Linked DNA regions of Lonchura striata. The protein of the gene in region 3 interacts with the protein of the main gene of each other region in a pairwise test. Links are inferred from orthologs where the notes say so. Each region holds a gene or a part of one and is shown on either strand. Other genes may lie near its edges.

Region 1 (8,236 bases), on a different chromosome or scaffold from region 3:
TTCCAGGGATGGGACATCCACAGCTTCTCTGAGCAACCTGTTCCAGAGCCTCAGCAACATCACGGTAAAGAATGTCCTTCTTACATTCAGTCTAAATCTCTTTCAGTTTAAACTCTTGTTCTATCACTATCTGCCCATATAAAAAGTTCCTCTCGCTCTCTTTTAAAAACCCTTGTATGTACTGGAAATCACAATTAGGTCTCCACAGAGCCTTCTCTTCTCCCAGCTCTCTCAGCCTGTCTTCATAAGAGAGGTCCAGCCCAGATCTGGACCCAGCACTCCTTGTGGGGTCTCACCAGGGCAGAGCTGAGAGGCAGAGTCACCACCTCAGCCAGACACCTGGTCTTCCTTCTTGTTCATCAGATTGTTCACTCATGCCCAAAGGGGTCAGTCCCAATGGTTCCCATCCTTCCAGCGCATCTCACTTGTGGTAGATAGGGACAGGCGAATGGAAGATTTCGGGATGTGACAGAAAGCAAGACCCTTCCTCCTCATCCTGTGATATGTAATCCATTACCCCCAAGACACGTAACCCCACCTAACCCAGTAGTTTTCCACTCCTTACTAATCCTAGAGATCCTACCTTCTTCCTTTGATGTAGCAAAGCCCCCTTGACTATTTAACCTCACGAGATAAGGTAATAAACGCCATTTGACCATCCACCACATTGGTGTCTGGGTATGTCTGTGGTCCGAGTGGCCCGGGCGAGGCTGGGCTGCCGTGCTGTCCCTTGAAACCAGGTCGCCTTACCTTCTCATCTGAAGGCAACACTCACTGGACCTAAGATAACTTCCCAAATGACTCTTTTTTTTTTTTTTCTTTTCTCAAAATTGCTTTTCTGCCACCTTAGAAAAGGAAAACAGCCATCAAGGAGTCCAAAGTGTGCCAAAGCAAGTGCAAAGAGAGGTGCTGAATGAGTTGTTAGCTCAACTCAAGCCATGACAGACACCTTTGCCCTCATTCCTGATCTCATTGTGGCATAATATTAAAGGTGCTGACAAAGGAGCTCTGACAAGTCTTGTGGCTGCATTTGGAGGACACATCACACCAAAACACAGCTGTTCTGCCAGGAGTTGATTCCAGCACAGCAGGCAAAGGAATGGTACAGCTGGTGATGCCTCAGCTATTTCTGTGTAAAACTAAGCCTCCAGTGAAGATGGATGTAAGGCTCTGGACTTTGCACTTTTGAAGGGACTGAGGCAGAAACACATTCTCTTCTGCCAGTGCTGCGGAGGAGAGGTTGAAACCTGCAGCAGAGGGATGAGAAGGACAGGTGGGGTTAGTGACCTCTTAGGAAGCCATGGCAAGGTGTGGTAGCACTGGTGTGTCATCCCTGTACAAACACTACCTGCTCCTTGGCCAGAGGGGTTATATAACCACACCAACGTTGTCAGAAAAGTACCTTCTGTAGGCAGAACTTCAGTTATTTTCTCACTAGATCATGAGACATTGGCTCTACAAATTATGCTATGAGGTATTAAGAATACTGTTTTACAGTTTCTCACTGATATAAAGAATTCTCTTCACTTGCTCTTGCTGGGGCTTTTGCAGTTCAGCCCTTGGCACTGAAGAAGTCTGGCTTTCCAGCAGAAAAGTCTGAAAACAAGACTCAAAATGTTTAAAACTCCCTGCTCTAAAAAAGTGTGAAGCATTTCATCTGTAAATTCTCTTGTCAAAAAAATAGCATTAGTGTATAACTAATATCCAGGCTTGACTGACACCAATTATTCTAATCCTCTAAAACAAATCTCCTTAAAATCATTCTGCCAGCTTGCTAATGTCCTGTTTTAGTCTACTGAACTCTAATGTGTGCTATGCTGGCAGTGCAAGCAACAGATATGCAGGACTCAGAAGTTAGAAGTTTTCAAAATTAGATTAAATGGAAAATAAGAAAACACAGAATTAATTTTAGAAGTGAAAAAAATATACACTGTAAGGATAAACAGAGCTTTACATGGCAGAGGGATTGCCCATATATAATTGAATGATGTAGGATTTTTAATTAAAGTGTGGTGACACCTTTCATGCCTGAGATGCACAGCACTGTAAACAAACTTTATGCATGTCCAAAAGAACAGATGATGTGAATTGCCTGATTTCACACCCTCAGTCCTTTGTTTATGCCCTGTGCAACACTTAGATTGTACATGCTCTGTGATAGCTTTGTTTGGAGAGCAGTGGAGTGGTCACAAGAAGTGCTATGGGAGGTACAATGTCTGGTCCTGTTCCAGCTCTTTTATTCTTCTGGGTGGTTCTAACACGCTGTAGTATACACTGAGGACTGCTTTTCCTTTTATTGTCAAATTAATGTCTTAGCTTGGGAATTACTACAGTTGCAGCCTAGCATCTCTCAACTCAGCTTTGCTACCCCTAAGGAGAATGAGAGAGCTCTTGAAGAGTGTCTGTGGGCTAGGCAGAAATTTGTGCTTTCTTGGTGATGATCAAGCTGTGTGATAGAGCCTGTGACTGCTCAGGTTACAAACTATAATGAAGGAATGAAAACTGTTCCCGAGCGCACTCTGCATGCATGGAGAAGTTCTAACCTAAGCAATCACAAACTCTATCACACACCTTCATTATCATCCTCATCAAGGGACAAAGAGATGAAGTAAAATAGAACCAATTAATAAATAGAATCAGTACTCTTGTTCCTCCTGATGTTTTATCTTCATATGGAACAGTAATGCATCTGACTGCTATTTAAAATGCTAGTATGAAAAGCACATCATGCTTCAAGTGACAAAACACTTTGTCCACCAGAAAACCTGATTTGCCAGCAAATGGCAGTGAATGCCCACCTGAGGAAGACATGACATCAATGCTGGAGGAACAAATGTATTTACAACTCTGTGAACATCACTCTGCAGCTGGGGCTGTGGACTCAGTTTTCTAAGACAAATCTCTAACTCCCTAAGGTGACTTTTTCTGATGGAGATCTGGCATCAGTCTAACTCGTAATTTCAAACTTTCAAAAAAAGAGAAATAATGCTGTAAAGACCAACTTCAGCTATTGCCAGAAGGCATCCCTCTTAGTCCTTGACTTGTTCAAGTGGCATCATTACACTTGATAGAAAGGCTGGAAGTTCAGCATCTACAAGTACTTGATTCTGGTACAGGACTGTATATTTGCATGTGTGTGTAAACAAGAAAAGGGGGAAAATCAAAGGGTTTTATTTTATATAATAAAAATGTGTAAACAGTACAATAATGCATCAACAATATTTCCTAATGTATGCAAATTTCATAACGTTGATACTTTGCAGTTGAACTAATCTTACATCCCTTGCCTGATTATGACAACTGCTCTTAACCTATCATACATTACTGATTTTTCAGATAAGCATTAAGGGATTAATAAGATTCATAATTGTATCTTATTAATTATAACCCCACTTTAATGTGAAGTGTGTATCTAAATCAAATAAGGTCCTTTGATAGTTCATATCTCACCAGATATGAATTTATCTGATATAATGTTGCTGGTCTCTCGACAGAGCTGTCAGGGAATAACTTTAGAGGATTAGACCTGTGCTTAGTGCTGTGCACTGAGGGGTAGATACCACTGGATTCAAGGAGAACAAACGTGGAATACGTGACCCGCTCCTGCGTATGCCGGGGCTTGGAGTTGCAGCTCGAGCAGCATCAGCAGCATGGACTGCTGGTAATCCCGTCAGCATTCGCGACGTGAAGGGGAAAAAAAGAACCAGCACCTATTTTGCCTTTTTTGGGGGTGAAATGTGCCGGTTCCCAGCCGGAGCCGTGTCAGTCCCGTGCCGTGCCGTGCCGTGCCGTGCCGTGCCGCTGTGCCGGGCGCTGCGCGGGCTCCGTGGGGCGCATCCGCCACGGGCAGGCACATCCACGGGCCGCGCCCTGCGGGCTCCCGGCCGGAGCTCAGCCCGTGGGGGTGCGGAGGGGTGCGCGTGTGGGCGCGGAGCCCGCGGGGCCGCCGGGGCCAGCGCCGGGGCCAGCGCCGGGGCCGCCGGGGCCAGCGCCGGGGCCAGCGCCGGGGCCAGCGCCGGGGCCAGCGCCGGGGCCAGCGCCGGGGCCAGCGCCGGGGCCAGCGCCGGGGCCAGCGCCGGGGCCGCCGGGGCCAGCGCCGGGGCCGCCGAGCAGGACGGACGCGCTCGGCACACGGACGGCCGCGGGTCTCTGTGGCATCGGGAACTTCACAGGCACCGACCCGGGCACGGCCGCCCTATCCCGCCCGGCTTGGCCGCAGGGAGCGCCTCTCCGCAACGTGACTTTGCTTTGGTTTTGGCTTCTGTAGAGGTTTCTCTCGTTTGTTTAGCAAATCCCGGGCGTGTGCGAACGGAGCTGAGCGGAGGTCTGCTGCTCGCCTCTCAGGAGGCATTTTACGCGAAAGCGTGCTGCTGTCGAGCAGACCCAACAGCGGCCGCGGGACCGTACTCCGTGGCCGGCCGCTGCAGGGACAGTGTTACCGGCAAGGGGCACGCGGGGGAAAGGCGAGTTTTGGTTTAGAACGAATTTTGTCACGGTTTGACCGCAGCTGTCCTCTCGCGGCACGAAGCCGCCGACGGTCCGGGAGGTGTTGCCTGCTACCGGAGCCAAGCAACCTGGCGGGCCCTTGGGGATAAATAATTCAAGGGAAAGTACTGTTTTGCTATGTAAACCTTTTGTAAAAGGTGCGTTCTTCGGCCAGAAAAACTGTGTCTGCCGCGTAATGCAACAGTTCCGTCTGGCGCTGAAACTGCCGCCGCGGTAGGCGGAGGTAAGGCGGCCGGAGAGCCCCGGCGGGGCATTGGCAGAGTTCACCCGGACCGTTCCAAGAGCTCCGAGCGGCGGAGCAGGGCGAGGCGCGGGGGTCGCAGCCGACATGCCAGGCGAGAATTCCTCAATGGCGCTGCCCACGCCCACTCCGGGGGCGCGCGGGACGGCGGGCCGCGCCCCCCGCGCACGTGCGGGAGCCCTCGCCGCGCGCTCCCCGCGGGCCGGCCCCGCCCCGCGCCGCGCGATTGGCCGCCCGGGCCGCCGCGGGCGGGAGCGGGCGGGGCGATCGCGCCGGGCGGCCCCGCCCACGTGCGGCGGCGCGAGCACACATCCCGCACGTAGCCGGCGCGTTAATCAGCGCGGGGCCATCTGCCGCCCTCCTCGCCGCGGGCGGGGGCTGCCCGCGCCCTTCCCGCACGCCCCGGGCGCTCCCGCGCACTGCTGGGGCGCCAGCGGCAGGAGCGCCAGCGCGGGGCTTCGGCAGCACCGCCGCTCCCGCAGCGCCGGGCCGCGGTGCGTAGCCGAGCCTGCAGCGGCCAAAGTTTTACCTCGCCTCGCCTGGCCTCGCGCCGCGGCGGAGCCCCTGCCCGGCTCGGTCTGGAGCGGACGGCGGCCCCACGGGCATCGCCTCCCAGCGCGGGCGCCGGCAGAGCAGCGGCGCGCCCGTCCCCGCCGCGCCATGCCGCTGGGACACATCATGAGGCTGGACCTGGAGAGAATCGCCCTGGAGTACGTCGTGCCCTGCTTGCACGACATCGGCTTCTGCTACCTGGACAACTTCTTGGGGGAGGTGGTGGGGGACTGCGTGCTGGAGCGGGTGAAGCGGATGCACCGCGACGGGGAACTGGCCGACGGGCAGCTAGCCGGCCCCAGCCGCGGCGTCGCCAAGCGGCATCTCCGCGGAGACCAGATAAAGTGGATCGGAGGCACGGAGGAGGGCTGCGAGGCCATCAACTTTCTCCTCACTCTGATAGACCGGCTGGTGATGTACTGCGGGAGCCGGCTCGGCAAGTACTACGTGAAAGAGCGATCCAAGGTAAGGGTCCGCGGAGCCCCGACCTCCCGTCCGCCCGCCGGCACGGGCTCCCAGCCGGCCCGACCCGCCTCGCAGCTGCCGGCGGGACCCGCCCCAAACTTTCCACGGGCACTCGTCCGTGGCGCGTCGGCGCTATCGGCGGGTGCCCGTGGCTCGGGCAGTCCCGCGGGGCTGTCCCGCAGCACCGCCCGGGTGGCGGAGGCGCGGTGCGCTGCCCGAGGGACTCCCGTGACGGCAGCCGCTCTCCAGCCCTTGCCGCCGGGTGCGGGGTCCCGCGGAAAGCGGGGCCGCTCCCTGCGGGTCCCTCGCCCCGCCGGTGCCAGCAGCGCTCCGGGGCGGCTCCTCGCAGCTCCCCTTGTTGGGTTTTCTCCGGGCTTTACCGCTGCCGGACCCCATCCAGTCCCTTGCCTTTTCACCTGTGTGACACCGGCCATCCCTTCGCAGCCGTCCCGGGGGCTCCTTGCTTCTCGCAGTGGGGCTGGAGCCGACTGCACCCCGGTTCTCCTTGCGCTCACCCCAGGTGCGGACAGGGGCGTACCCCACCAAAAACGTCTAACCTTGGCTATTTCGGGGGGGAGCAAGGTCTCCACACTCTCCCTGGGAACGTAGCCAGCTCTGATCCGATTGTTAAGATGTTTTCGCCCATGTATTATCCTGCATAGTTTCGCGGTTCCGACTCTTGTCGCCGTTCTACAGCTGAAGAGGTTATCGTTACCGCATTGAGTATGGCCAGAATACGGGATGTTTAGTAGTTTGAGCGCAGCAAACTTTTGTTTTAAAGAGACAAATTGCTTTTTCTAGGCTTTCTCAGAAATGAAGGGGACACTTGTATTATTAGTTTCTTTCCCAATGAAGTTTATTTGCACTTGCAATGCCATTAGTGTGGAGTTAACTCGTCTTTTCTTTCCTTGTCTGTTTTGCTACGGCAAAGTGTACTAACTTGGAACTAAGTTTACTTTGTTGTCCTGAATACTGAAAACATCCTTATTTCTTTATTTCTGACTTGACACAGTACATTTTCAAAAGGTCCGCTGCTGTTAGAGATATGCCAGAAACAAAAACAATGAAAGTTTTAAAAAATTACAATAGGGAGAAGCTAGGCATTTCTCTTGATCCTAACTTGCACTGACTAAGGGCGTGTGTGAGTGGTATTGTGATTCCCCCCTGAAAAATGATGAAAAAGGTACAGTGATATTTACCAGTTGCTTGGGAACACACTGAAACCTTTGCATGCATCCCCATGCATTTACACACGGTAGTGGGAATAGTAAAAGTTGAAACATTGTTCCTTATGCTTAGCTCTTTAGAATTAGTGATCATCAATTCAGTTAAAGCTTGGGTAGGTATGTTTTAAAAATGTGGGTAGTTTGGATTTTACTTATTCCTGTTGAGAGCCTTGTATTAGGAGGCATAAATAACCATCCTGCCTTGGCACATCTTTAAGGTCATCCTTATCCTTTCTCCGGGTGATTTCTGTTTACTACTGAAAGTGCATTTCTGGCTAAGGGTGTGTGCGCAGGGGTGGATATTGAGGGGCGTTATTTAAAAGCTGGATTGGTGTGAAAGGAGGCTGTCCAGACTTTTTACGAGGTATTTAGAAAACAAATCATCTGGATGAATGAAGGCTGTTGGTGCTGGCTGGGAAGAAGGGTCTTTTGGGCAGTGGTTTTGGGTTGTAGAGATGGTTTTAAAACAGCGTTTTGGTGTTTTTGAAGGCATTCTTGTACAAATAGTAATAAAAAATAGAACATAACTTGTTTTATAAATAGGTAGCAAGATATTTACTATGAAGAGAGACCTCTGGCTCTTGTGACTTAATGTGAAATTTGTCAGAATCCAAACAGCACATGGAAGTGCTGCACAAGAGTCCAGGACTGAAAGGGACTCAATATCTCACTATTGTTTGCAAAACCAAATGCAGAGAAATTTTCATCAGTATAGTAACCAATCCCCTTGTTATAATAATAAATACCATGGGTATGTGAGGCCCTGGAATAGCAGCTGCTGTCTGTAACTGAGACATGGGATGCCTTCAGCAGAAAGATTATTCCTGTGACTAACAACTGATTACTACAGTGCATGCAGGTTCCCATATTGGTTTAAGACATCTCTCTTCTACCATTAAACCTTCCCATTCTGCTTATCATCTGAAGTCTTATTAATGCATACACACAAATCCCAAATTTAAATTCAGCAAATTTTTATTTTATCTGGTGGATTATGTATGTAAATGAATGCCCACAAAACTTTCACAGCTTAAGATTTGTGGATATGTGGGGTGTTCATGGGTGACTGGACCAGAGCTGCTTTGTGGGACATGTGCTGTTGTAATTTATTGTTTTGGCATATAGATATTACTCAGAACTAAGAGCTCAGAACAATTTGTTTAAAATGTAAGCCTTTAGGTACATGTTAACTAAATTTGTCATGAAAATGTACTTATGTCATATCAGCCCATCATTATTTAAAGGT
Region 2 (7,482 bases), on a different chromosome or scaffold from region 3:
CATTATCAGATTATTCTAATTCTATTCAGTTTAAATAAACAGTTATATACACATTCATTTTCTTGTACATAATGTACATCAGGAGATACTACAAAAGTCTTTCAGGTTTGCTGTAAACTGCTATTTGCTTTCATATAATAACCTATATTGAGCTTCACACATTAAACACACTTTCATCTAAGTTCTTTTTCTAATAAAAATTAGGTAATTAATATATCCAGTTTGGCTAACTTGGTATCAAATTATCTAACAATAAATATTGTATTACTTAAATTCTTATAGTTGCATGCCAGGAAGATGAAATGTATGAAAGCTATTTGGAGCTATAGACAGGAATTGCTGTAACATATGTTATTATAAGTTATTGTTTCCATGAGCGAATCTTCTTTATCTGTTCCTCAGGTATTAACTTTGACTAATAATTAATTGCTTTGATGCAATCACAGAACCTCCTGTGAACTGCCACACCTTCCTCAATGCAACAGGTTCTTACCCTTCTGATTTCTTAAGAGTGGTAAAGTAGCACCAGCCCTTTCCTTCTTCATCCTTTTTCATCATCTTAAACTCAGAAGTCAGCTACACCAGGATACATCTTAGCAACACATGTTGCTTAACCACCGTTCTCTAAAGGATGAAGTCCTTATTATAAAGATTCCTCTGAGTATTGGGGGTAAGGTGCAAAGCCCCTCTGAAGACACTTATATTCAAATGGTACCAATTCTTTAGGAGTTAACTGATGTTGCTGCATAATAACATCATAATCGTTAGCAGCAAGAATTTCAAGTGTCTATATGAAGAAGGTAACACATTACCCTGAACAACCTGCCTGTGAACTTGACACACAGCAGACAGCTCACTACATGCTTATCCCTTAGTTTTCCCTGTGTAACAGGATGCCCACAATAATTAAAACATATTCACAACCCTCTTTTCGTCCCTAGGAAAGCAGCTTCTCCACAGAGATAGGATAATCAGGATATGCTGTCCAGCCTTCTGTTGCAGCAAAACAGAATAAATTTTAAGCCTACAAGCTACTGAGTCAACATTTAGTTAATCTAAATGAATTATCCCTTTTAACAAAGACTAAATAATAGAAAGTTTGATTTGAGTAAGTTATACAAGTTTTCTTGAGATCAGCATCAGTGCATGATCCATCTCTGAGGCACTCATACTTTTGAGCACACCCAGCAGTTACTCTGGTACAACTCTGTTCTAGGAAGTTGTAGCACCTGACTGCTTCCAAAGCAGTTCAAGTTGAACACTTCACGTATATACAGTTATTCTGAAGATTAAGTAAATTTTTAATTCAAGTCTCACCAGCAAAGCAAGCTTACCAGTCATCAAAAGTCAACAGCATAACATAAAAGGACAGGAAAAGTAATTTCAAGGAAGAGTTATTTTCCAGCTCAATCGTTTTACCAACTTTTTCAGCATGCCTATCATCTTCTTCAGGCTTCAACACACATTGTGTAACTATGATTCCAGCTTTCACTGCAACACTCAATTAAAATATTACATTTAAGCCAGGAATGCCACTGAGAAATAACATCTCTCTACTCTCACAGTGCCTAAGATTTCCCTCAAGAGAATACTCAAACAAATAGATAGTTGCTTGTCTTCTGTGGAATTTTCCATCTCAATAACTATAACTTGAAAAAGTAGAAACACATCAATATGCATTGCTCAGTCTTCCAAGGCATTTTTATTTGGAAACAAGAAGAATTAGATTAGACCCACAGACTCAGTCAATACCATGTGCTCTTCATACTCCCCTTGCTGGTGAGAAATAGTGTCTGGATAAGATCTTTAACAGTTTGATCATGAACTATCAACAAGAAAGCCATGCTTTAGAAGTCACTGTCTACTGACTGTTAGAAAAACAGCCGGAAAAAAAAATTCTGTGATCACAGACCTAAAGTACTACAAACGGTTTTTTTCCATCAAAAAAAAAAATAATTTACTTGCAGAAGAAATGTAATATGAGGAGAGTGGAACTGAATCTGCTAAAGTAGCGTCTATAGCTTTGCTACTATTTCAAACACTACAGGAAAGATGCAACAGGTGTAAAGAACAAAAGCTTCGCTTAAGGTACTTTTGGCTACAGCTTTGCTAGGAAAAATTAAAGTAACAATTCAAAAGAGGCAGAAGAGCTGAATCAGCATTCAATAGACAAGAAGACATCATCCAGCTTTGGATTGTCCTAATATTATTTAAAAAGGCATGCACAGTCTCTAGGTCAGTTATTTTTACTAGATTTTTCCAGCAACCTTCTTAGCATCGCAAATAAAAATCAGCTCCAGATTAGCTGGGAGTCACTAGAACAAGACTCAGGCATTCATCATTTCCCACTCCAAATCAGTGTAGGCAACATAACTCACTCCTCTATCACTCCAAAACCTGGGTATTATCCTCAAACATGAGCTCAACGAAGATCCACATAGCCTAGCTATAGTGAAGTATCAGAATTTCCACATGCAGCATCTTAGGTGTGTTTCAACCATACCTCAGATGTTCAGACAGAAACTTAAGACAGAGATAAAGATCCCTTTATGTTTTTCTTGTTTCTACACATACAAAAAGGCAGCATTCTAAGTACAGCAAGAAAGTTATACCTCTAGTGAAGAACAAGCTAAGCTTTCCCTTACACCCCCACAGCAAATTTTCATTCTGAGTCCAGATCAAGTTATTTACAGTAAAAATACTAACCCATTATGATCCTGTAACAAATCCTAATAGGGGAGAGCAATATCAATAACTTGTAGAAGTACAAATGTTAAGTTCCCCAAGCCTATGTTTCCACAGAGAAAGAAGCTATCTTTCAGGTCACAGGCATCAAAGGTTTGTTTTCTCCTGCTTTTCACATATGCAATAACTGGCTGCAGAAATTATACAGCAATCCATTTAAGATAAATCCCTGAAAAACAGCTAAGCTGGTATTTTTCCATAAACAGTGATTTCTTCCTAGATTCAAACCAAACAAAAACTCAATATGGAAGGCAACAACTTCAGAACAACCCATCTGTCCCAGTGAGCAGCACAAGCATCAAATTCTCCTCAATGAGAACTAAAAGCTTTCAAAGCTGTTCACATCTGACCATATGTGCATGACATCCCAGTCCTCCCAAAGTAGGCAAGTTCAGCTTGTGACTGTAGGCCACAACTTGCCTATTAGGAGAATCCAGGCTGTTCCTTGCTCTCTTTTTGAAAAGGTTGAGAGCAAAGCATAGGCTGAATGGATTCTCCTCAAACGAGGAACAGCTCCTCTATTCACTGCTTGCCCAGTTTGCCTCTGGACTACGCCCATACACTAACAAACGAGTTCCTGTACACAGTTCGAGAGAGAATAGGAGGTTGTCTACATCCTAAGCCTTAAAATGCTCTTATAAGATAGAAAGGGGGAGAAGAAAGTCACAAAACTAATACAAGTCCACTCCAACAGAAAGGAGGCCTCATAATAACAAGTTACATGGAACTACATAATGGTATTATAATCATAGCATTTAAAAAAAAAAAAAATCTAGCAGAAAAACAAAGCCAAGAGCCAGTGAAATAACTGTGAACTAGAGAATTTGACTGCTTTCCCTTGGTGTCATGTGATCTGACTCACTACTACAGACAGCAAGAACCAGAAAAAGTATTTGATAGCTCTAAAATCATTCATTTCTAAGAAAGTTTTGTTAGAACCTCACACGTGAGCACACTCTGCCAGTATTCACATCAGCTGAAGGTTTCTGTGAACAGCAGAGGACCAAGAGACCACAGACCTTGCTCTTCACACGTGCTGCATTCCTCATTAGAGAAGCCTCGACGTATTTTACGAAAACGAAACTTCTCCATCACATCTACAGACGTGAATCAGAGGACCATGAACGACTTCCCATTTTAACACCATCCCACTTACTACAGAAACAGGTAAGAGGCTGAAGACCACCTTCTTTCGCTTTCCTCCAGTGCCCGCAGCGGCGAACGGCTTCAGCCATGTACATCACCCGCGACCGGCACCCGCCTCAGCCGCCCTCCTCCCGCGGAGCCCACGCGGGCCCCGCCGGCCCGTGCCCGCGCCCGGCCGGAGCAGAGCGCCGTCCGAGCCCGGCCCGCGCTCCGGGACCGCGCCCGGCCCGGCCCCGCCGCCGGCCCGCGGGGACCCCCGCCCGCACCCACCGCTTCTTCGGGATGGAGCCGGAGGCCGGCCCGGCGGAGCCGCCCTGCGCCTTGCAGGGGCTGGGGGAGAGCGCTCCCCGCCCCGGGGCCCGCGGCGAGCCCCGCAGGTGCCCGGAGATGATGCGCAGCCGCCGGCGGGCGGAGGACGGGGAGCCGCCGCCGCCTCCCGCTGCCTCGCCGGCCGCGGCCGCCATCGCTTCCGCGTTGCGCCGCGACCGCCGCCGGGTGAGAGGGCGCGCGGGCGGAAGGCGCCGCCCGGCGCTCCCCGCGCGGGCCCGGCCCGGCCGCGCCCCCGCCCGGCCCCGGCCCGCGCCTCGGCAGCGCCGGGCTCGGGGAGAAAGCGTTCGGTAAGGATTCCCGCCTCCGGTGCTGTAATTACAGCCCCTCTGGGTCGCTGAACAAACGGGAGAGAACACAGAGTGTCCTTTAGAGATAAGGATTGCCCAAGTTAATGATGAAATGCTAATTAATGACAATAGCATAGGCGGGTTACTTAAGAAATAGGTCGGTGTGGTGGCAGATAATCCGACAGGTGTTGCAGATTTTATCATCGCTGTTGACAGGGCCACAAAGCCCTGGTGAGCGCAGGGCTGCCGAGCCAGGTGCCTCTGTGCCTGTGCAACCCGGCTGGCCTGAGGGGGAGGATCCGGCTGCTGATCTGCTCCCCAGAAATGATTGCTGACCCACTGCTGGGAATGCATCGCCTGCTGTATGGGATACCCATCACTGGGCCGATCCTTGCAACAACCGGCCATCCTCACCGTACTTGGGACCTGGGAGAACATCAGGGATTCACTTTGTAGCATCACTTTGAAGAGGGCAACTGGGATTTAAGGGGAGATGCAGATTTGATGCCAGCCCCAGGTGCTTTCTGCTGTGAATTTACCTTGATGCACCTGAATGCTCAGGAAAGGATGCAAAAACTGGAAATACTTTAAAGTAGAACAGGAAAATAGGTTTTCTGTCTTCAAATATGTAAAAGATTGCTATCGACTGAAAGGAAGCAATCTGCCCGTCATGACTCAGCTAGGTTGGTGAGAAGTAATGAGCTCAAACTGCAAGATGTAACTTCAGTATTAGCATTAGACTATTTTCTGATGGCAGTGGAAATGAAAAACTGTTGTAGTCTGCCTAAGTAGAGAACCAAGTCACCTTCATTAGCAGCGTTAAGAACAGACAACATACATCTATCAGACATACCATTATAAGCAGTTCTGCTCAGGGCAAGGTGACCTGCTCAGATTAATTCCAGCTTTTCCTCTGTGGCATGAAGTATCTCACATGTTGTAGTCTACTCAGTTGTCACACAGGACCTACTTTCATGATCGGCTTTTGCCACTGACTGGCACCGACCAGCTTTTTGGAAGTCCTGAAGTAGATTGCTGGGGTCTACGCAATGACTGATAGTTTGATAATGACATTTTGTCTATCAATGTTGATTTATTTGTTAATTTCTTCATCGAATGTTTGTTACGTGAAATACAATCCCAGGAAAATTGATAAAGCTCTTACCCTCTTCCAAACCTCTTCTAAGGACCTATTTCTCCCATGATACTTCAACATGGTACCTTTCCATGAACTAAGCAATTTGCAGGAGGTTCCCCAGGGAGCAGGCTGTACTGCACAAGCAGGGAGCCTTGGGCTCAGTTCCTCACCTCACATGCAATATTGGTGCTTCTTTGAGTCACAGCTCCCATATATATATCAGGGATAACAGGATCTCCCCAGAGAGACTGGTCTGAAGATAAATACACTATGGACTGCGTGACAATATAGGACCAACCCCAGTAATGCCTACTGATGAGAAGCAGTTCATAAAGCCACCCAGGTGTTATTACTGTTTGTTTTGCTTTTATTCTCACCATTGCTAATTGATTTTATACCCTTTGTATACTTTCTCTAGAAAGTAGCCTGCAATTTTCCTGGGGCAGTGATTGCACTAGTTGCACTCAGGCTTAAGTTAGGTTTCCGGTATTAGTGCAACATAAACAGCTGTTGTGGCAGTTCAATAGTTTGGTTATGGAATTAAATTTCCCCCCGTGAATAATTTGTACACAAATTTCTGGATTAACTCATGCATATCCACATTTAGCTGTCTGCTGTTGCAGAGGCAGTCTGTAGGGAACAAATATGGGTCTCAACTGAATTTCCACTCACATTGTTTACTGAAGTTCTGGGTATAGCTGGGGGGACTTTGAGTCACAGTTACCTAAAACTTTCCTCATTGCTGAATGCTGCCAAGTGAATACCAAATCCCCTGTAGTAGGCTTCAGGTTTTCCTAGAATGTTTCCTTGGATCACAGTCACTTGTAAGGAACAATAATGAGCCAATTGGTCATTTATTTGATCCTAATTGTAGAGCTTCACAGTTAAAAATTGGCCTCAACTAGAATCTAATAAGTAATATTTGTAATCACCTCACAACTTGTTTCTCAAAAAAGTTCCAAATTAGTCTTTAAGTATGTGTGTGAACGAAGATTTAACTGGAGATGCTAGAGACGTAGTGGTATGATTTGGAAACTCTTGAGAGCCTTGTCTTTTGCAAAGCAGAGGAATAGCTAAGTCACACCTTGTTTTCGTGTGAGAGAGGTATTTTCTTACAGTAAGACTGCTAAGCTCCTACCAGTGCTCTGCATGCAATCCCTGCTTCCCTTGGAAGGATGGCAATCTTCATAAAAAGCAGCAGAAACATAATGTGCTGTCAGATTGTGAGGTCACTGTTTCTCATTTGCTGAAGTGAACCACTGGCATGTTTTCAAAAACTGTATCTAATTTAACCATATAATTCATTCTGATAAGTAGTAGTGCCAAGAAGAAAATTTAGGGAAAACAAATTTGAAAGTAATCTGTTGTGACACCAAAGAGAACTTTTATCAGTAAAAATACCAGCAGATCTACAATGCAGTAGTTGGAAGTATTCTAATTGTTGTTGAGCCAAAGCAGCAGCCTTTGCCATTCCATGAGCTGTTCTGCCCACAAAACTGAGTGCATCTGTAAGCATAAGTGAGATGCCAGCTCAATGTGACACCTCATGCCAACAAAGGCCTGCATTTCCAGAATTCTGCACATTGGCATTTTCAGAAAATAGTTTTAAAGCCAGTTTACAGTGTAAACAAAATAAAGTTGCCAAAGTACTGTAAAGTTTCAGAGAGGTCTTCATAACAAGGTGTCTCAGAGTTCCATTACGCAGTGGTCCCATGAGAGACACGGACGGAGCATGCTCTCAGGACAAACACTCCACTCCTAGGCAACCTGCACACAGGCTGTGCAAAGGAAAAACTCTCCTGATAAATCTTCTTGCCTTGAGTGGAGTCTGGAACA
Region 3 (7,979 bases):
AGATAATTTTCAGCCAGTTGTAGCTTTGCTTAGGAAACTCATGCTTGGGCAAGTTACAACTCACCTCCCTCTAACCAGATTTGCGCAATGTTTTCACTTGTGGCAGCTGGCCACAGCCTGGCTGATTTTGAGTAACGAAGCCTCTGGAGATAGGTATTTTGTGAGCTATCAGCATGTGCTTGGCATGCCCAAGTTTGTTCAGTAAGAAAAATGTAGGTGGACAACCAGGGTTGTTTCCATAACTGTGTGAAATAATTGAACTGTAAGTTGCAAATGTAAATAGCAGATTTAATCCTAGTTTTTATTAGTCCCATTTCTAATGTCAGGTATACTTACACAGCAGGATGGAAACAGAAGACAGTGAGGGAGTGGGTAAGCAGTGAATGATTTATTAGAGATTCCATTTGGTGTACTAGTCCAAAACAAACGAGGCAGAGCATATGGATAACTTATTTTGTATGCAATAAAAGATGGATGTTAATATCTCCCAGCCTGACCTTTAATCATATATATTTGCTTTTTGATCTAGTTTTAAAATGGAACATCTATAAAGCAATCCCTAAAGAGCTTACAATGAGAAAAGATCTTTCAGATATCTGTTTGTACCACATGAGGAAAGAAGCAAGCAAGCACTGTGAATTAGTCTGTGCCATAGAGATTGTAGGTAATTCTCCCTCAAAATTGCTCAAAATGTCTCTCTGCCTTTCCTCATTCCTCCCTTGTGTTTTTCTCAGCACTCTGTCTTCAGGGAAAATTCCTGCTAGTCTCTGGAAATGCTTTGTTCATTGAAGTGAGGGATAAGGCTTCCTGTTCCTCCTGATGGAAGGTTCAAAGGACTCAGGTTATCCCTCACAAGAATCCCCTTGGGGCTTGCCCTCACACTCACCCTTCTGCAAAGCAGGCAGTGCCCCCTCCTCCCCATGCACCCCAGCAGAGCCCAGGGCCAGCAGAAAGCCCATCTGCTCCTTCTCTGGGGCACTGAGGCTCAGCGGGGGCCCAAAGCTGCCTGCGCAGTGCCACCATGGCCACCATGCACCCTCCCAGTGCAGTGTCAGCCCACCTTCTCCCTGGCTGCAGCTTTCCCAGCACTCTGGAGAAGAGCAGACATCTCTGTCGCTGTTACTTTTACTGGTTCCCCTCCTGGCCCCAGCCATTCCCACTCCTCCCACCCCCCTTGCTCCCCTGCTAGAGAGGGCCACCAGCTTCCCAGCCACTGGCAGTCCCTGAGAGCATCCTATGCAGCCGGTCTAGACTGTGGGAGGGGATGTTACTATGGAAACATTTACGTCCTCTCAGTCTTTGGTGTGCTTACTAACAGCATTCAGCATTTGTCTCCTGTATTCTTGCTGGCGGAAGAAGAAAACATCTTTTCCTTGCAATGTGTACTTAAAAAAACCCCAAAAACCAAAGAAATTATTAAAACCCATATATTGATCTTCCATCCTAAGGAAGGAGGAGGGTGAATGAGGAGTATTAGTTTTCCATCTCCTGGTGATGCTGTTTGGCTGGAGGTGGCTCTCTGCAGTGCTGGATTTTTCAGGGCACTTCACTGCTTCCCAGCCAGGTCCTTGGCCTCTCTCCTGCAGCGAGTTCTGGAAGAGCAGCTCCTTTCTCCTGCAGCTGGCCCCTCGTTTCTGTGTCAGGATGGATCTCACTTATCCCAGGAGTTCCCTTTGCTGAGGTCCCCAGGGCAGGAAAATAACATCCATGGTGATAAAGCTGTTAACATGACAGCAGGACTTCACTTACCATACACACAAATTGGTGTTCCCTCAGAAGCCACCTTTTTGTGCTGAAATTAAATTTTTTCAGAGCTGCTCAGTCTCTGAGCAATAAATATGTAATATTGCAAAGAAATTCCTTTTTAGACACTTTTGAGTTAGTAAAGACTAGCTAGCAATCCTGTGCTCACAAAGTAGTTGTAATTTCTTTTGTACAAAAATTCCCAAAAATTGTTATTTGTACTTTAAAAAAAAAGTGTCTTCTACCTCGGCTAAAAAATCTAGACACAGTGGAGATATGTCTGACATAATATCTGTAAAAGAAAGATAATTAATGAATTGGGGTTGTAGATAATGAAATTATTTAACAACAGTTATTCTGCAGTCCTGCAGCAAACAGGGAAAAACATGCCTTTCTCTAAACAGCTGGCTTCTGGCTTGTTTGATTTCATTTTCTGGATTGGAGATTGTTACAGAAAATCTGTCTGGAACTCATAATACAGATTAATTTCCATCTCAGTTCACACACAAAAGGGAAAGCAGGCGGCTAGGAAACAGGCAGATCTGGGTTAAGTTCCTCATCACATACTTCATTTTTGCTTACGTGATTCTTGCGCATACATTCCCAGAGTCCTTTCAGAGAAATCTATAATTATCTTTTCATGATGAAGGATTGGGTGTATAAATATTGGGTGCATTTCTGTTTGTTTAGCTGCTATTATGGTCATACAATCGCCCTTTTCACTCAGAGGAGGGGAAGGCAGGCACGGCTGTGGATATGAGAGCTCTCCCTTAGCCAGTGAGGACATGGAAGTGCTGTCCACCCATCCACACAGCCCATCACCCGCTCAGCGTCTTTAAAAGCTGCCGCATCCTCTCAATTTTCCTTCGAGGCGAGATCTGCCTCCTCCGTAGTGTATTTATCAGAACAGTTATCTCAGACTGCTCAACTGCCACAGTGGTGGTTTTTGGCACTGGAGGACATTTTTCTCTGCCTCCTCTATTTAAATGAGTCATTTCAAATTTTGTGCTTAGAAAGGAAGAAAGAGAGACAAAGAGAGAGAGAAAGAATCAAAACCAAACAACCGAAGTAAAACGGCAACAAACCAACATGTAGGGGAAATTGCCCTTTTTAATTCAGCAGCCAGTGTTCTCATTACAAATGTGGAGTGACATACTCTGCTTTGTAGCGACAGTGCTAAGACCAGACTGCTAAAAGTAAAAATTGGGTCACATTCCATCCTTGCAAATCATCAGCCAGTTTTTTACGAAATCCCAGGCCTGAGCAAATAAAGTGAAGGCTTTACCCAAATACTACTGAGGCTTTAAAAGGAAAATAGTGGAGCCGTTTGCAGAAATAGTTGAGAGCAAGTTGAGCTGCAGGATGATGGTGTTTGAACAAGCAAAGTCCCACGGCAGCTCTCAGAGCTGATGGTGCTATGAGGCTGGCAAAGTGGAAAATCAACCTTTTGAAGCTGGATAACTGACACAGTGAGGAATGACACAGGTATTGAGACTCCCAGCTCACCAGAGCTGTCCAGTGCTTATGTGACCTGACTGAAGGGATGGTGAACTGAAGCCAGTGGAAAACTGTGGACCCGTGTGAGGTTCCTGCTGTGAGCTGTCTCAGCGGGGGCCAGGCGAGCTGGTGGAGCTGTTTAGTTTAGCAGGAATTGGGTGGGGGAAGAGGTCTGACTTCTTTCCTAGAAGCGAGTTGATTTGGATCAGATAAAAAGCAAAACCGCACTTGGAAAGCTACCCAAGGTGTCACTGCCCTTTTTAGCCGCGAGGTTCTATAGGTGATCCATTAATGCTCACACCAGTCGAGTGATGTCTACAGGGAGAAGAGAAGCAACTGCATAAGCATGAAACTGCACGGCAGGAGACGACATTTTTATTCCTCAGCTGTGGAATAACCAACTTAATTTTCAGCCCCTGCGTGGGTTGAAGGCACTAATTAGACTGACCCTGCCGGCGGCTCGGCAGCGCGGCTCTGCAGCCGGGCTCCTCAGGAGCTCTCAGCGTCGGTGCGGCGCCATGGCCGCTGTGAGGCCGGCAGGCTCCGGGCAGACGCCCTCCTGCACACACACACACACACAAACAGCCCCGGAGTGCCCGTAATCTACACGCTCCGTGTGCGGGGCAGGCAGGGAGGGAAGGCAGCGCGTTATCTAAGGCAGCAGGAAGCCACGGCGGGCTGCAGCCGCCTCAGGGGCGCCATGACAGCGCCTCAGCCTCGGCCGCAGCCGTCAGCGCCCGCCAAACCTCAGCGGGGCTGTGCGGGGAACAAAAGGAGCCGCTGGAAATCCAAGTGAGGTGCACACACTGCTTCGAGAGGGGCACGTCAGGGGAAACGCTGGATTGCCGTGGGCGGGCGCCATTGCCCGTCCCGGCTGCTCGTTCTCGACCCGCTCCCACCATCATCCTTGTTACCCAACCCCGTGCGGCCGCCATTTCCCTTCCCCGTCCCGCTGCTCCTTCTCCCCTTCCCCTCCGCATTGGTCTCCTCCGAGCCCTGGCCAATCACAGCTCACGGGGCACGTAAACGACTCGCCCCTAGCCAATGAGCGCCGCCCTTCCAACGTGGTGAGCTGCGTGACGTCTTCCGCGCGAGCTCCGCGTCTTTGTTGGCGGGTAAAATTCCCCCCCAGAGCTGCCCGCGGCGCGGGGGGGGAAGCGTCCTCAGTCGCTCCGGTCACGTGGCACAGCCGCGCCCGAAGGGGGGGTGTCATGCGCGCACGTAGACATCATATAGTCCCTTCATGATTGTCCCGTCATGGTGCTGTGGCGTCTTGTCGGCGGCTCCTGTGTTTAACTCGTAGCAGAACAGCAGGAGAGAAGCCCAGAAAGACAGGCCACAAGCCCTTAGCTGCTGATGAGAGGCAGGTCATGCTCGGCGGAAGGATACCTCACCGCCGCAGCTGGTCTGGTGAGGCGTCTCGTATATAAGAGCGGAGCGGCGCCGGTGCCACCTCATTGTTTCCTGTGGCCGTGAGCGGAGGTTGTGTGCGTGACTGGTTCGGTGTGCGCAGCACCTCCCGCGCGGCGCGGATACGAGCAGCCCCCTCCCCGGCCGCCATGGCTCTTTAAGGCGGCAGGGCCAGCGGCGGCATCGGCCAGTGCAGCAGGCGCAGCAGCAGCGGCGGCGGCCTCAGCACACCCCCGGCATCTGCAACCATGGCGTGAGTATCGTCTGTGAGGGACGGCTGCTCCGTCTCCTGTGTGTTGATAGGCGCCCTCTTACCCGCTTGAAGTGGGCTTTTGGGGTGGATTTATTGCGCCCGTGGTGGTAGTTCTGATCTCACGGGGAGCGGGTAGAAATACCTAGGTATACCAAATTAATACATTAACTACCTAGCTACGCCTCCCAGGTGGGGAGATCCTTGTAGAGCTCAGTATCCCCGGGTGCGGCGAGCGTCAGAAATAGCAGGAAATGCCCTTTAGAAAGAATTTACGAGGAGTTCTCTGCGTTTCCTATCGTTGGAGAAACCTCGATTTCGAAAAAGTTTGCCATTTTCTTACGTAAACCTACTGTCCGGTATTTTTGTGGGAGTACGGGGACTTTCCCAGGGAGGGTTTCCTTGCTCTCGCGCGGGAAAGCGCGGCTGTGTGTGGGGGAAAACGGGGCATTGGGGGTTGTAGGGTTTTGAGTCCAGGGCCCACGTGCCATAATCGCAGCTGGGCGGGCGGGGGCTGTTGGTCACCGGCGGCGGTGCTGAATGCCGCGGTGCGCGCTCACCGGCCCCGTGCGGGCCGGCCGCGGTGCGCGCTCACCGGCCCCGTGCGGGCCGGCCGCGGTGCGCGCTCACCGGCCCCGGTCTGCGCTCACCGGCCCCGTGCGGGCCGGCCGCGGTGCGCGCTCACCGGCCCCGGTCTGCGCTCACCGGCCCCGTGCGGGCCGCGGCCGCGGTGGAAACGTGGCAGGGCACAAGATGGCGGCGGGACCGCGAAATGGCGGCGGGAGGGCGGGGCCGGCCCCTCGGGGAGGCGCGGGACGTGCGGCAGCCGCGCAGAAATAAAGAAGCGGGATAATCTGCGGAGTTCCGCCATACTCACTGAGCTGCCCTCGGTTAAAATATTCAATGTGTTGGTCAAACCAAATACTGATGGGTGCGAGTTCTGTTCGCAGGTTTTTCACGGCATCGCACAGCAGCATTGCTGTAGTCGACGAAAAAGCCTTCTACTTGTCTACATCCTTCGACGTCAAAGCATTAAAAGCTGACGAAAATGAGCTTCTTGAACAACGAGATGCTGTTGGGGGATTCAATATCCCCCTTCAGCCAGCCGTGTTCGGTGGCTGAGGAAAGTCTGGGACTCCTAGATGACTACCTGGAGGTGGCCGAGCCCCTCGGTTCGCATGGGTTCTCCAGCGACAAGGCTAAGGCAGTCTCCTCCAACTGGCTTGCTGTGGACAGTTTAGGCAACACCATAGATAGCAGTCAGGGTAAGGTATTACTTACTTTCATAAAGGACGCCAATTCATAGTACCACAACATTACAGTTAAAAATAAATTGCTAGGTTTTCTTAAATCCGAATGCAATCTCACGTGTGTTATCTGGGCCTGGAAAGAGTGTATGCTACACTGCTTACTCTGGACATAGTTGCTGGTTATGGTAAAGTGCCTCTTCTGTTGGCCTTGAAATAACACACCAGCTGTCAATGGTATTCTTTCTTGGCAGAGGTAACAATAAGAAAGCATGGTTGTGTGTTGCAAATGTCCTTGAATTCTTTTGGTATTTAAATAAGAGGGCTGTAATGTCACAAGAGAGGTAATGTTGTACCCTGCAGTTTTAAGGAGCTTAATGAAAGAGTTTTTTCCTGATGATTTACTCTTAGTGTTGTAATACGTGAGAGAAGAAACATGCAAGATGATAAACTGATAGATTTTTCATGAGCTTGAGTTGCACTGTGTGATGGTTTACTGAAGTGGTAATTTACTTTCTGTGTTGTGCAGAGGATGCCTTCTCTGGCATGGAGTGGATGGTGGAGAAGATGGATCTGAAGGAATTTGATTTTGATGCCCTGTTAGGTATGGAACATCTGGAAGCCACCGTCTCACCAGACGAGCTGATGGCCACGTTGGAAGACACGTGTGATCTATTTAATGCTACCATCCAGGAATTTCACAACAAAGAACTTCCACTGATAAATAATGTAATCACCCATCTCCCTGAATCCCCTGTTGGAGCAGATCCAATGGCCCCATTGACTTCCCTTTGGTCTTTTCCCCTCTCCCCAGGGTCTCTCACTTCCACTCCAGACCACTCATTTAGTTTAGAGCTAGGTAGCGAAGTGGATGTTCTGGAAGGAGAAAGAAAACGGGAGTACCCCACTGTTGTGGTGGTGATCACCAAGTCTGAGAAAGAGGACGAGAACCACTCTGATGATAGTGGAATATGCATGAGCCCAGACTCCTACCTGGGAACCCCCCAACACAGCCCCACCAATTCACTTGGGTCCCCCAATGGCAACCAGTTCCCTGCAGATGCCCCCTGTGGCTCTGTGCGGTCCAAACCATACGATCATCCTGCAGAGAAGGTAGTGTCAGCAAAGGTGAAAGGAGAAAAGAAAATAGATAAGAAACTAAAAAAGATGGAGCAGAATAAGACTGCTGCCACACGTTACCGGCAGAAAAAGAGGGCGGAGCAGGAGGCACTGTCTGGGGAGTGCAGAGAGTTGGAGCAGAAGAACCAGGCCCTGAAGGAGAAAGCAGATTCCCTTAGTAAGGAAATTCAGTACTTAAAAGATCTGATAGAAGAGGTCCGCAAGGCCAAGGGCAAAAGAGCTAGAGTCCCCGAGTAGGGTAGTCAGCAGTGTTGTGTGCTTGTATATAAGCTTCCTGCTAAAGCTGTGTATTGCTGTCTAATAAATGATTTTGTAGTAAATGTGCAATGATGGCGTGTGATGAGTGGTACCTGTAAAACCAGCATGACTTGAACCACACCTAGGTGTAAATACAAGCACAACAAGCTGTTGTGTGTCTAGTGAGAGCAGTGTGTCACTTGTGCTGCTTGTTCTGGGTGGTGGGTACAGTGCAAGTGCAGAGTGCTTGGAACTGGAGCGTGTGTAAAATGTTTCAGTTGACCTGTGCCCTCCATAATTTCCCTGTATTCTGGAGTAAGGGCATCACACTGAGGTGCCTCAGTTTTCAGCAAATTGTGAGACCGTTGAAACCAGCAAGATTGGAGAGTTGATGGAATACAAAAGGTCAGTAATACCATGTGGTGGGAGGTGCTTATTTTCAGACTTTGATATTT
Region 4 (8,293 bases), on a different chromosome or scaffold from region 3:
TGCAGGTCACCAGCCCTCTCCATAAGTAACAAAAAGCACAAATCCATGGTACTGATGAGTTCTTTTTGAAAGGAAATAACCAGACTTTTGACATGTTTCTATTGACAGCAGTTCTGCTGACAGTCTGCTGCATGAGAAGGAAGAAGAAGACATCTAACCCAGAGAACAATCTGAGCTATTGGAATAATGCTATTACCATGGACTACTTCAACAGGCATGCTGTAGAGCTACCAAGAGAGATCCAGTCACTGGAGACTTCAGAGGTACCTCGCTTGCAGAACTGGTGTCTGGAAAATGTAACTGATGCCATGCTGGGAGGAGGGGAGAGGAAGTCATATTAATAAAGCCTTGAAATCCCCACAGATGTTCAGGGGTACAGCTTTTAGGGAAGGACTCACTCCTACACATGTATTGGATGGGATAAACATCTCAGCAAAGCTGGATTGCCATCCTATTCCCAGCCACTGCAGATGTGTTCTGCATTGCTGCGTGGTGACGGGCGTTAACCACCAAGAGGTGAATTTATTCCTGGGCTTCTCTTCCTTGTGAGCCTATAGCCAATGTCAAGCCATGCCATGATGTCTTAAGGAGAGCTCTTTAGGCTGGCTTATTACTGACAATCAGTCTACTGTGCATGTGCCACACAGCATAAAAATAGGAGGCTGCTGGAAGTTAATAAAACAAAGAAATTTTGTACATTTATGTCTCAGGAGCTGCCTGCAACTTCTCAAATACCAGTTCAGGGAATTAGTGTTCCCAATACAAAAGTAATCAGAACATCAGTATGTGAGGGAGTGTGGTGGTGTGGTGTACACTCATCAGCCTTTATTTAAGAGATCTGACTGGTTTGGTGGGATTATTCACACATGAGCAGGTGATCCTACTGATAGAAATCTATTCCTTGGCTTCAGAGACAGAGAATAATTCAGTTTCATTCAAAGATAATTAAAACCTAGAAACAGTGGAGAGTCTGAGTTTATGATAAAATGATTTTCAGATCAGCTATCTGACTAGCTCATATGACTAAATTAAAAAAAAAAAAAGTTTAGAAAGGAACCTCTAAGATGTGATTAGACAGTCACAGTCACTTCATTAACCCCACTTTGCTGGCAATCACGTTGCTCAAACTAAGGCAGGACCTGGTCTAGCTTGCCCAGAATCAAATGTCAGGCCTATTCACATACAGGATAGTCTTCAAAAGGTGACTCATTTAAACCTCATCAGAATATGACTGAACTGGAGCATACTCAGGTGGACCCTTATGTGTGGCTTTCTAACTGTAAAAAGAAGTTGCAAATGCATCTTTGAGGAGTCAAGCCCTGCTGAGAGATAGGAAACACATGCAATGAGTCAACAAAGTGAAAAAAAAAAAAAACCAAACCAAAAAAGCAACAAACCAAGAAATGTGAAAGCTCCAAAGGGATTGGAAGTTTGGTGCAGTTGACTTCTGGGTCCCCAGGCTCACAGAGAATTAGCAGAACCTCAGAGGAACTTTTCACTCACAGCTCCTCCTGCCTGACAAAGGGAAAAACCAGCTCACCAAACCCGGCTCTCCAGAGTCACAGACCACGACATTCAGGCACCTTTGGGGGATCGAGAGGAATGCCCTGTGTGCTCCTGGAGGTTGAAGGGTGTGAAATGCTCAATCTGCTTCTTTCTTTTTCCTTCAGGACCACCTGTCTGAGCCGCGCTCCCCGGCCAACGGTGACTACCGTGACAGTGGGATGGTCCTGGTGAACCCCTTCTGTCAGGAAACGCTGTTTGTGGGACACGAGCAAGTCTCTGAAATATGACCCCCCACCTGCCCCCGTACTGCAGTTTCATCTCTACTGTCTCCAAATTATAAATAAATATATATATATTATAAATATAACCTTTGTGTAACCCTGAACTACAAGAAATGTTTTCAGCTTTTCTTTTGTCCCTCAGAATTGTCAGCCCCTTTTTTATAAGTGTGGTAAAACTTTACAGAACAAACTGTGGCTTTATAAAATAAAGGTATTTCTAAGCAAAACATTTGTCAAGTGGACTGAATCCTTTCTGTGACTCCAGTACTGCCTGAGCACCAGCTGGGGTGAGCCCCTTACTGTCCCACTTCCAGTCTGAGCTCCAAAACTCTTTTATACGAGCAACAACAAGAATGGCCCTTTTTTCCTGTGTAAATATGTTAACCACACTACACATTGGACTCACAGCTGCTACACTTCAGCCCAATAAGCCTAGAATTATTTCCTGATCATCAAACAGCCTCAAAAGAAGGCATGTAGAGTGCTCCCTTCAAAAGAACAGAAAATTCCTTTCAATTTATCAAAAATCTTGCAATCTGGTGACTAGGGACTACCACCAATTGAATGCTGTGGCTTTGACCACATTTCCACTTCTCCATTGTTTTATTTATTTTTTGTGTTTAGACTGCTGGTGCCACTGAATCAAGTTTCCTCATACCCTCTTCTCTTCTCTGGGACTTTCTTTCCCCCCTTATGAAGGAAAACACAGCATTTTGGAGCAAAATGGCAATTCTTTCCTACCCTGTTAAGAGCTAGATTGCAGACTCTAATAGCGTTAGGGGAATAGTAAGGGTGAACAAAGCTTAAATGATGGATTAAAAATAGGTTGCTGCAAGGCAAGAATAAGATAGAACATGGAATGACTTGGCCCAAATCGATGCTCTCTCTTTGAGTAATCCAGAACTGTTACTGTGGGACCAATTCTCAGTTTTGCTTCTCAAAATGCCTTTTTCATTCAGCAAGTGAAATTACTCCTGTCCTTTGAGGTCTCGTCCTCCTTCTCCCCACCTCTGGCCACCAGTTCTGCTAGACAATTTTCTGCCGTCACTCCTCACTTCATCAGGAGCAGGCTGACAGTGAGGGGCACTTTAGCCCCTGCTCCAGCTGGCTGCTCCTTGCCACTGGCTGCTCAGGTTTAACACTTGGCTGCATGAAAGGGAAGCTGGAGCAGGACAGGGTTAGTGTAGCATCATTAACCATATGCCTTGTTCAAGGTGAGGCACAGTTGCTACTAGAAAAGAGACTTACAGCAGTGGCACATCTGGTCCAGCTGTTCCCACTTGCCGCCAGGGTCCCAGTGACTGTCAAGCAACATGACAACTTGACTAAATGATGGTTGGAATCAGACCCAGACTTGGCTGAGGGGGCCACAGAGGCCTCGTTGCTCCTCCCCTCTCCCCATCCCACACATGCACTTCTGCTGTGCCAAGGCACAAACCTGAATGTGGACCACAGGCTTCTGGAAACTGGAAGATTGAAATGTTACAGGGACTCTCCTGTGTATTTGTTTCTCTGCTCAGCATCAGAGAGTAATGCAGGCCTTTCTCATGAGGTCATGGGGCAGGCAGGATGACAGGACTGTGTATGAACATGGATGGGCACTTTGGGAATGTATCTTTTCACCATGGGATAAGTGCTATGCAATATGATACCTGTGATCCTCATGATCAATTACTAAATAACCTCCTAGAAACCACTGTTTGATAGGAGAGTGTTGCCAAGAGCAAAAGCAATCCCACAAGGATCTTTGTTTTTATTTAAAGAGGGAAGTGGACAGAGAGAACAAGGTTACAAAAAACTAAATTAATTTCTTTGAAAAAAGAGTCCACATTATTACATTTGTTTTCTGTACATGGTATTACTTTTGCAAGGGAGATTTTCTAATTTGACACAGAGCAACTACACTGAAAATACTGTGTAAGAAATATTGGAGGATGCTTCCCATTTAACCAGAAAAGTTTGCTTGGTAATCTAAAGGCAGAATACCTAAACTAGACAAAAGTTTTTGCAAAGCTGAGAGATGCTGTGCTGTTCCCAGTCTTCACACAACCTGGAAATGGTGACCTGACTTTAAGCAGCCTTTCAATTCTCCAACTTAAAAAAACAAGCAAAATAAACTCAGCTATCAACCCAGTGAGCCAGGATTAGGCACCAGTGGAAGACAGGGATTTCTGATTGTATCCTGTCTCGCCAAAGACTCACCACTGCCCCTGCACAAACCTACACTGCATTAGGGCAATGCCCAACATCAGCACATTACAATCGTGCCTACAAAGATGCACACATGGTGATCCTGCACTGGAACAGCATCCTGATGTGAAGTATCCCTGTGTGTACGTAGAAAAAGCCAGACCTAACATTGTGTTGTGAAGGATTGCGCTGTACCAGGACCACATCCTACTTATTACTTATTATTACCTATAAACCCACCTGATCGCTAGTAGCTAAATAATAGTGACATAAAAAGAAGAGCAAGGGAAATATCCCTCTTTCCTTGCAATAAGTCTCTAGGATTGTTTTGCCCTTTTCTTTTAATTCACAGTTGCCTCACTTTGTCACCACGTTACACAGGCCAAGAAGGGAAACATGTCCTTGCTGAGCACATAAAGTGCAATTGATTATGTGAAGTTAAACTGACTGAGAAGGGGTGGACATGAGGGTGCTTGTCCCTATAAAATCTGCTGAGATTGTGTCAATATCCCTTGGGTGGGTGGTGAAGCCAAATTGCAGAGAAACCCAGAAGCTGCAGCAGACACAAGGGAACATTCAATGTTCTACAGTGGCAAAAGGCTGGCTCGGCTCTGCTCAGCTGTGGCCCAGTTGACTCCACGGAGGTTTGGGTTGTGCTAAGTTAGGAAACATCTTGCTGATGTAGACTATGTCTGGAGCAAGCACTGGCGTGAGAAGCAGACGCGTTTGTAGTGTATAACTGGATACCTGTGTTATAAGGGAAGGAAATCGCCCGGGTGTCAGCGTAGAAAACACTGCTGGTATTTTAACACGTGCATTGTACTGAATCCCCGTCCCGCTGTCCCCGTAAACACCATTGTGCTTTTCATCTGCCACGTTTGCAGCAGCAGCAGCAGGGAGATTTCGCCTGAAATGGGATTGCTGACCCAGCAGCCGTCCGGACAATGGGACGGGTGCTCCCAGGCGGCACAAAGCCCCCCTTCCAGAAAGCCGCCGCACAAAGCCGAAATCCCGGGCGAGCCCCAACCTGCTGGGCTCGGCACATCGCTGCCGCCAGTGCGGGGCCAGGCGGCCGGGCTGAGCGGCGGTGCTCGGCAGGCTGGAGCGACAGCATGCCCTTGCCGAGGCGCCGGTCCTCCTTCCTGGGGCAGCAGCCCTCCAGCTCCACGGCGGAGAGCTCGGGGCCGCCCGGCCGCCGGGTGAGCGTCGGAGGCGGAGGGAGCCTGTCCAGACCCCCCGGCGTCTACGTGGGCACCGTTCCCACCGGCGGCGTGAGCAGCCTGGGCACCCGAGTGTCCCGTAGGGCCCTGGGCATCAGCAGCGTCTTCCTCCAGGGTCTCCGCAGCTCCGCCGCCGCCGTGCCCCTGGCCCCGGGGCTGGATAAGGGCAGGGGTCTCTCCTACGAAAGCTTGAATGGCTGCTTGGTGGAGTACATCGAGAAGGTGCGAGCCCTCGAGCAGGTCAACCAGGAGCTGGAGGAGCACATCAGAGTCTACCTGGACAAGAAGGCGGCCAGCGTGGGCAGCTGGGGAGCGCTGCGGGAGAACTGGGAGGCGATTTACCACCAGGTGAGCGCGGAGCGCCGCCGGCAGCCGGCGGGGCGGGAGGGAGTCATCAGCAGCTCCGGGCGGCCAGGGACCAGGCTGCCCATGAATGCCGTCTGATTCCGAGGCGAGGAGCCTAGACAGAGCGTTTAAAATCTATCTTCATGATAATTAGCATTATTATGCCTATTAAGCGGGAGAATTGCCTCAGGCGTCATGTGCATGGGAGCGATTGAAATACACCCCAAGGCGCCAAAGTCTGGGTTGATTAGAACGGGTGGTGGTTTTTTCCTTTTTTTTTTTTTTTTTTTTTTTTTAATTTTATGTCTGTGATTATTACACTGAGTATCAAAATTATTGAAAGAAACCTACTAGGACTGAATTAGGTTATCTCTCAACATGATATTACAAGCACGTTGAGGGGTTTTGTTTTTTAATCAGCAATTCAGATTTTTACTTCATTCCCTTGTTGGCTTAATAACATTTTCAAAAGCTCTATTTATTTAAAAATAGCAATTACATTGCTACAAATGAGTGACTCCCTTCCTTTCCTTTGCCATCACCCCCACCATCCCTCACTCCCACCTTCTCCATACAGCACAAATCTTTATAGTGAAATAGTGTCTGTATTGACCTCATGGACAAGAAAAATTTAATTTTGCTGTCAGTAAGGCCTCACAGGCTGATGTCCTGCTTGCAGCAAACACAAGGCTCTGTCTGCTGAGGTCTTGGTGCACCACACAAGCCTGGCTTCCCAACTCCCATCCAGTGGGAGCAGACAGGATTCCACAGACCTGGAATCTGGCATCTCACACACCTCTCCCAGCAGCGCTTTTGTAGGCACAGAAAATGGCATCACTGGGTCTTCACAAAGCCTGAAAGCCAACTTTAAGTTGCCTGGGACAATTGTGTGTTTAAACTTGGGCTAGCCAGTTTTACTTTGCATTTTTAGGGCAGGTGTTCTCCCAGAACACCACAAACATTGCTTGAACCCTGAATGTGTTGGCATAAGCTGTTGTACAAAGATCGTGTCAGCAGAAACACCCACTTAAGCACCAGCTTTTAAAGTTGCTATTGGTAAATGACATTATTGCCTCCTGAAGGGAGCAGCTGCTGAAGTAAAGGGGTGCTCTGAATCTGGGGTACAAAAAGCCATCTCCTTGAACCTATTCCCTCCCTGGGGAAGATAGGGACTTTGATAGGTGACAGGGAGTTAATCCTTTGCAGCTGCCATCCCATGTTCTCCAGACCAGTGTCGCATTTTGTAGCTGTAGACCTCATCTGTAAATCCTACCAGGATTTATGGTTAAGCCCAAAAATGTGGGACCATAGGAAAGGACCATTTAGGAAGGACTGTTTGATTTTTCATTACATAAACCTCCAGCATTGCAGTGCAGATGAACCTGCAAATGTATTAATTTTTCATCCAAATTGCTTTCCTTTCAACCTTCCTTTGTGGTCATCCTTGCCTCTACCTCTTTTTTATAAATTAATAAGAGCATCTCATAATGAAATCTAGCCTGAATATCAGGCTCTTCCCATATGAAAATCAGAAAAATAAAGCCATGTAGTAATAGCATTTGTGAGTTGCATAGAAAAGAAGAGAAAAAGATTAGCATCATCCGTATCTATTTAACTATCAAAACACATCAGAGAACACATGAAATCTTCTGAATTGCTTCAATTAAATCAATAAAAGAGGCATCACTTAGTGGGTTTTGTCTTTCACGGATGTGATCCAAGCTGTTATGTTCAATTCTGATTAATAGATTTCTTTGCTTTTTTTATTAAGCATTTAACCAGAAATGAAAGTAGGACCCTATCCAGCCCAAACACCAATTAGCTCATTCGTCTTGGAGCTAATTGGTAAAATTTTGCCAGCATCAACATTGAAACCACCACATATATTAAAATAATGTCAAAATCAGTTGTGGCAGAAACAGCGGAAATCACATGAAATCCGAACCCTTTTGCCACAACACATCCCAAACAGAAAAGGAAAAGGCATTCAGAGCAAGGTGTAGCAGAAATGAGAGAAACCTGGCAGATACATTCCTAAATGTATTTTTTTGTAAATGTATTCAGATTTTCTGCAGATGTACACATCTACCTTGATTTCTTTAAAAGTGGCATACCTCATTTTAAGCTTCTTGTAAAATCTGAGCACTCATTTGGATGCCAGGCCCATGGGTTCAGTGGGGAGAAATGCCCAGCAGTCATAAAACCCCTCAGTGCCATTTGCATGAAGCGGCTATGAAAGTTTTGGGGGAAAAAAACACTCAAGCAGGCACCTGTATTAGCCCAAGCACTCATGATAGGAACAGTTTTTTAACAAGAAACAGCAAAGAAAATTACACAATTGGGAGGAGGTCTAAGCAGGAGCCCTTTCCTCTTTCCCTGCTAATGAGAAGACAAGGACATGGCCACAAAGGACTCTCCTGGTCTCAAAATCACAAATGTGACAGGCCCATCTCTGCAGTGGCACAGGAGAGACACCAGCAGACCTGAAGTCCTATTTCCCTCCTGCCCTTCCTGGAATGTGCTCCAGCATCCCAAATTTTGGGTAGTTGCATTGCCAGCAAAACCAGCTCGGTGCCAGCATATCTCCTAAACACAGAGCTAAGGGAAAAAAGGTGTCAGCAAGTGACTCAGAGGGTGTGTGTGAGTGCAGGATCCCTCAAGAAAAACCACTTGTGTTTCTTTGCAATTGTCAGAGCTATGGCTGCAGCAGGGGATCACTAGTGGGAGCTGAATGATGGAAAGCCACTCTCC

The links.
Region 1: the proteins of ATF4 (region 3) and EGLN3 interact in a two-hybrid assay, tested with the Homo sapiens proteins (2 studies listed by BioGRID). The link is inferred for Lonchura striata from reciprocal best matches to the Homo sapiens genes ATF4 and EGLN3.
Region 2: the proteins of ATF4 (region 3) and NFE2L2 interact in binary tests that used the Homo sapiens proteins (3 or more experiments, as listed by UniProt). The link is inferred for Lonchura striata from reciprocal best matches to the Homo sapiens genes ATF4 and NFE2L2.
Region 4: the proteins of ATF4 (region 3) and BFSP2 interact in binary tests that used the Homo sapiens proteins (3 or more experiments, as listed by UniProt). The link is inferred for Lonchura striata from reciprocal best matches to the Homo sapiens genes ATF4 and BFSP2.

What each region holds. Positions count from the first base shown.
Region 1 is NC_134608.1:25,775,404-25,783,639, forward strand, and holds the start of EGLN3 (prolyl hydroxylase EGLN3), read left to right. Parts: upstream 1-5,222; 5' UTR 5,223-5,407; coding exon 5,408-5,764; intron 5,765-8,236. UniProt on the Homo sapiens protein: Prolyl hydroxylase that mediates hydroxylation of proline residues in target proteins, such as PKM, TELO2, ATF4 and HIF1A. Target proteins are preferentially recognized via a LXXLAP motif.
Region 2 is NC_134610.1:22,648,020-22,655,501, reverse strand, and holds the start of NFE2L2 (nuclear factor erythroid 2-related factor 2), read left to right. Parts: upstream 1-4,466; 5' UTR 4,467-4,508; intron 4,509-7,482. Other genes in the region: AGPS (alkyldihydroxyacetonephosphate synthase, peroxisomal), read right to left, coding at 4,162-4,355.
Region 3 is NC_134607.1:24,137,852-24,145,830, forward strand, and holds ATF4 (cyclic AMP-dependent transcription factor ATF-4), read left to right. Parts: upstream 1-4,689; 5' UTR 4,690-4,903; intron 4,904-5,850; 5' UTR 5,851-5,948; coding exon 5,949-6,165; intron 6,166-6,676; coding exon 6,677-7,524; 3' UTR 7,525-7,614; downstream 7,615-7,979. UniProt on the Homo sapiens protein: Transcription factor that binds the cAMP response element (CRE) (consensus: 5'-GTGACGT[AC][AG]-3') and displays two biological functions, as regulator of metabolic and redox processes under normal cellular conditions, and as master transcription factor during integrated stress response (ISR).
Region 4 is NC_134603.1:113,236,437-113,244,729, reverse strand, and holds the start of BFSP2 (phakinin), read left to right. Parts: upstream 1-5,089; coding exon 5,090-5,545; intron 5,546-8,293. Other genes in the region: TMEM108 (transmembrane protein 108), read left to right, coding at 109-263, 1,671-1,793.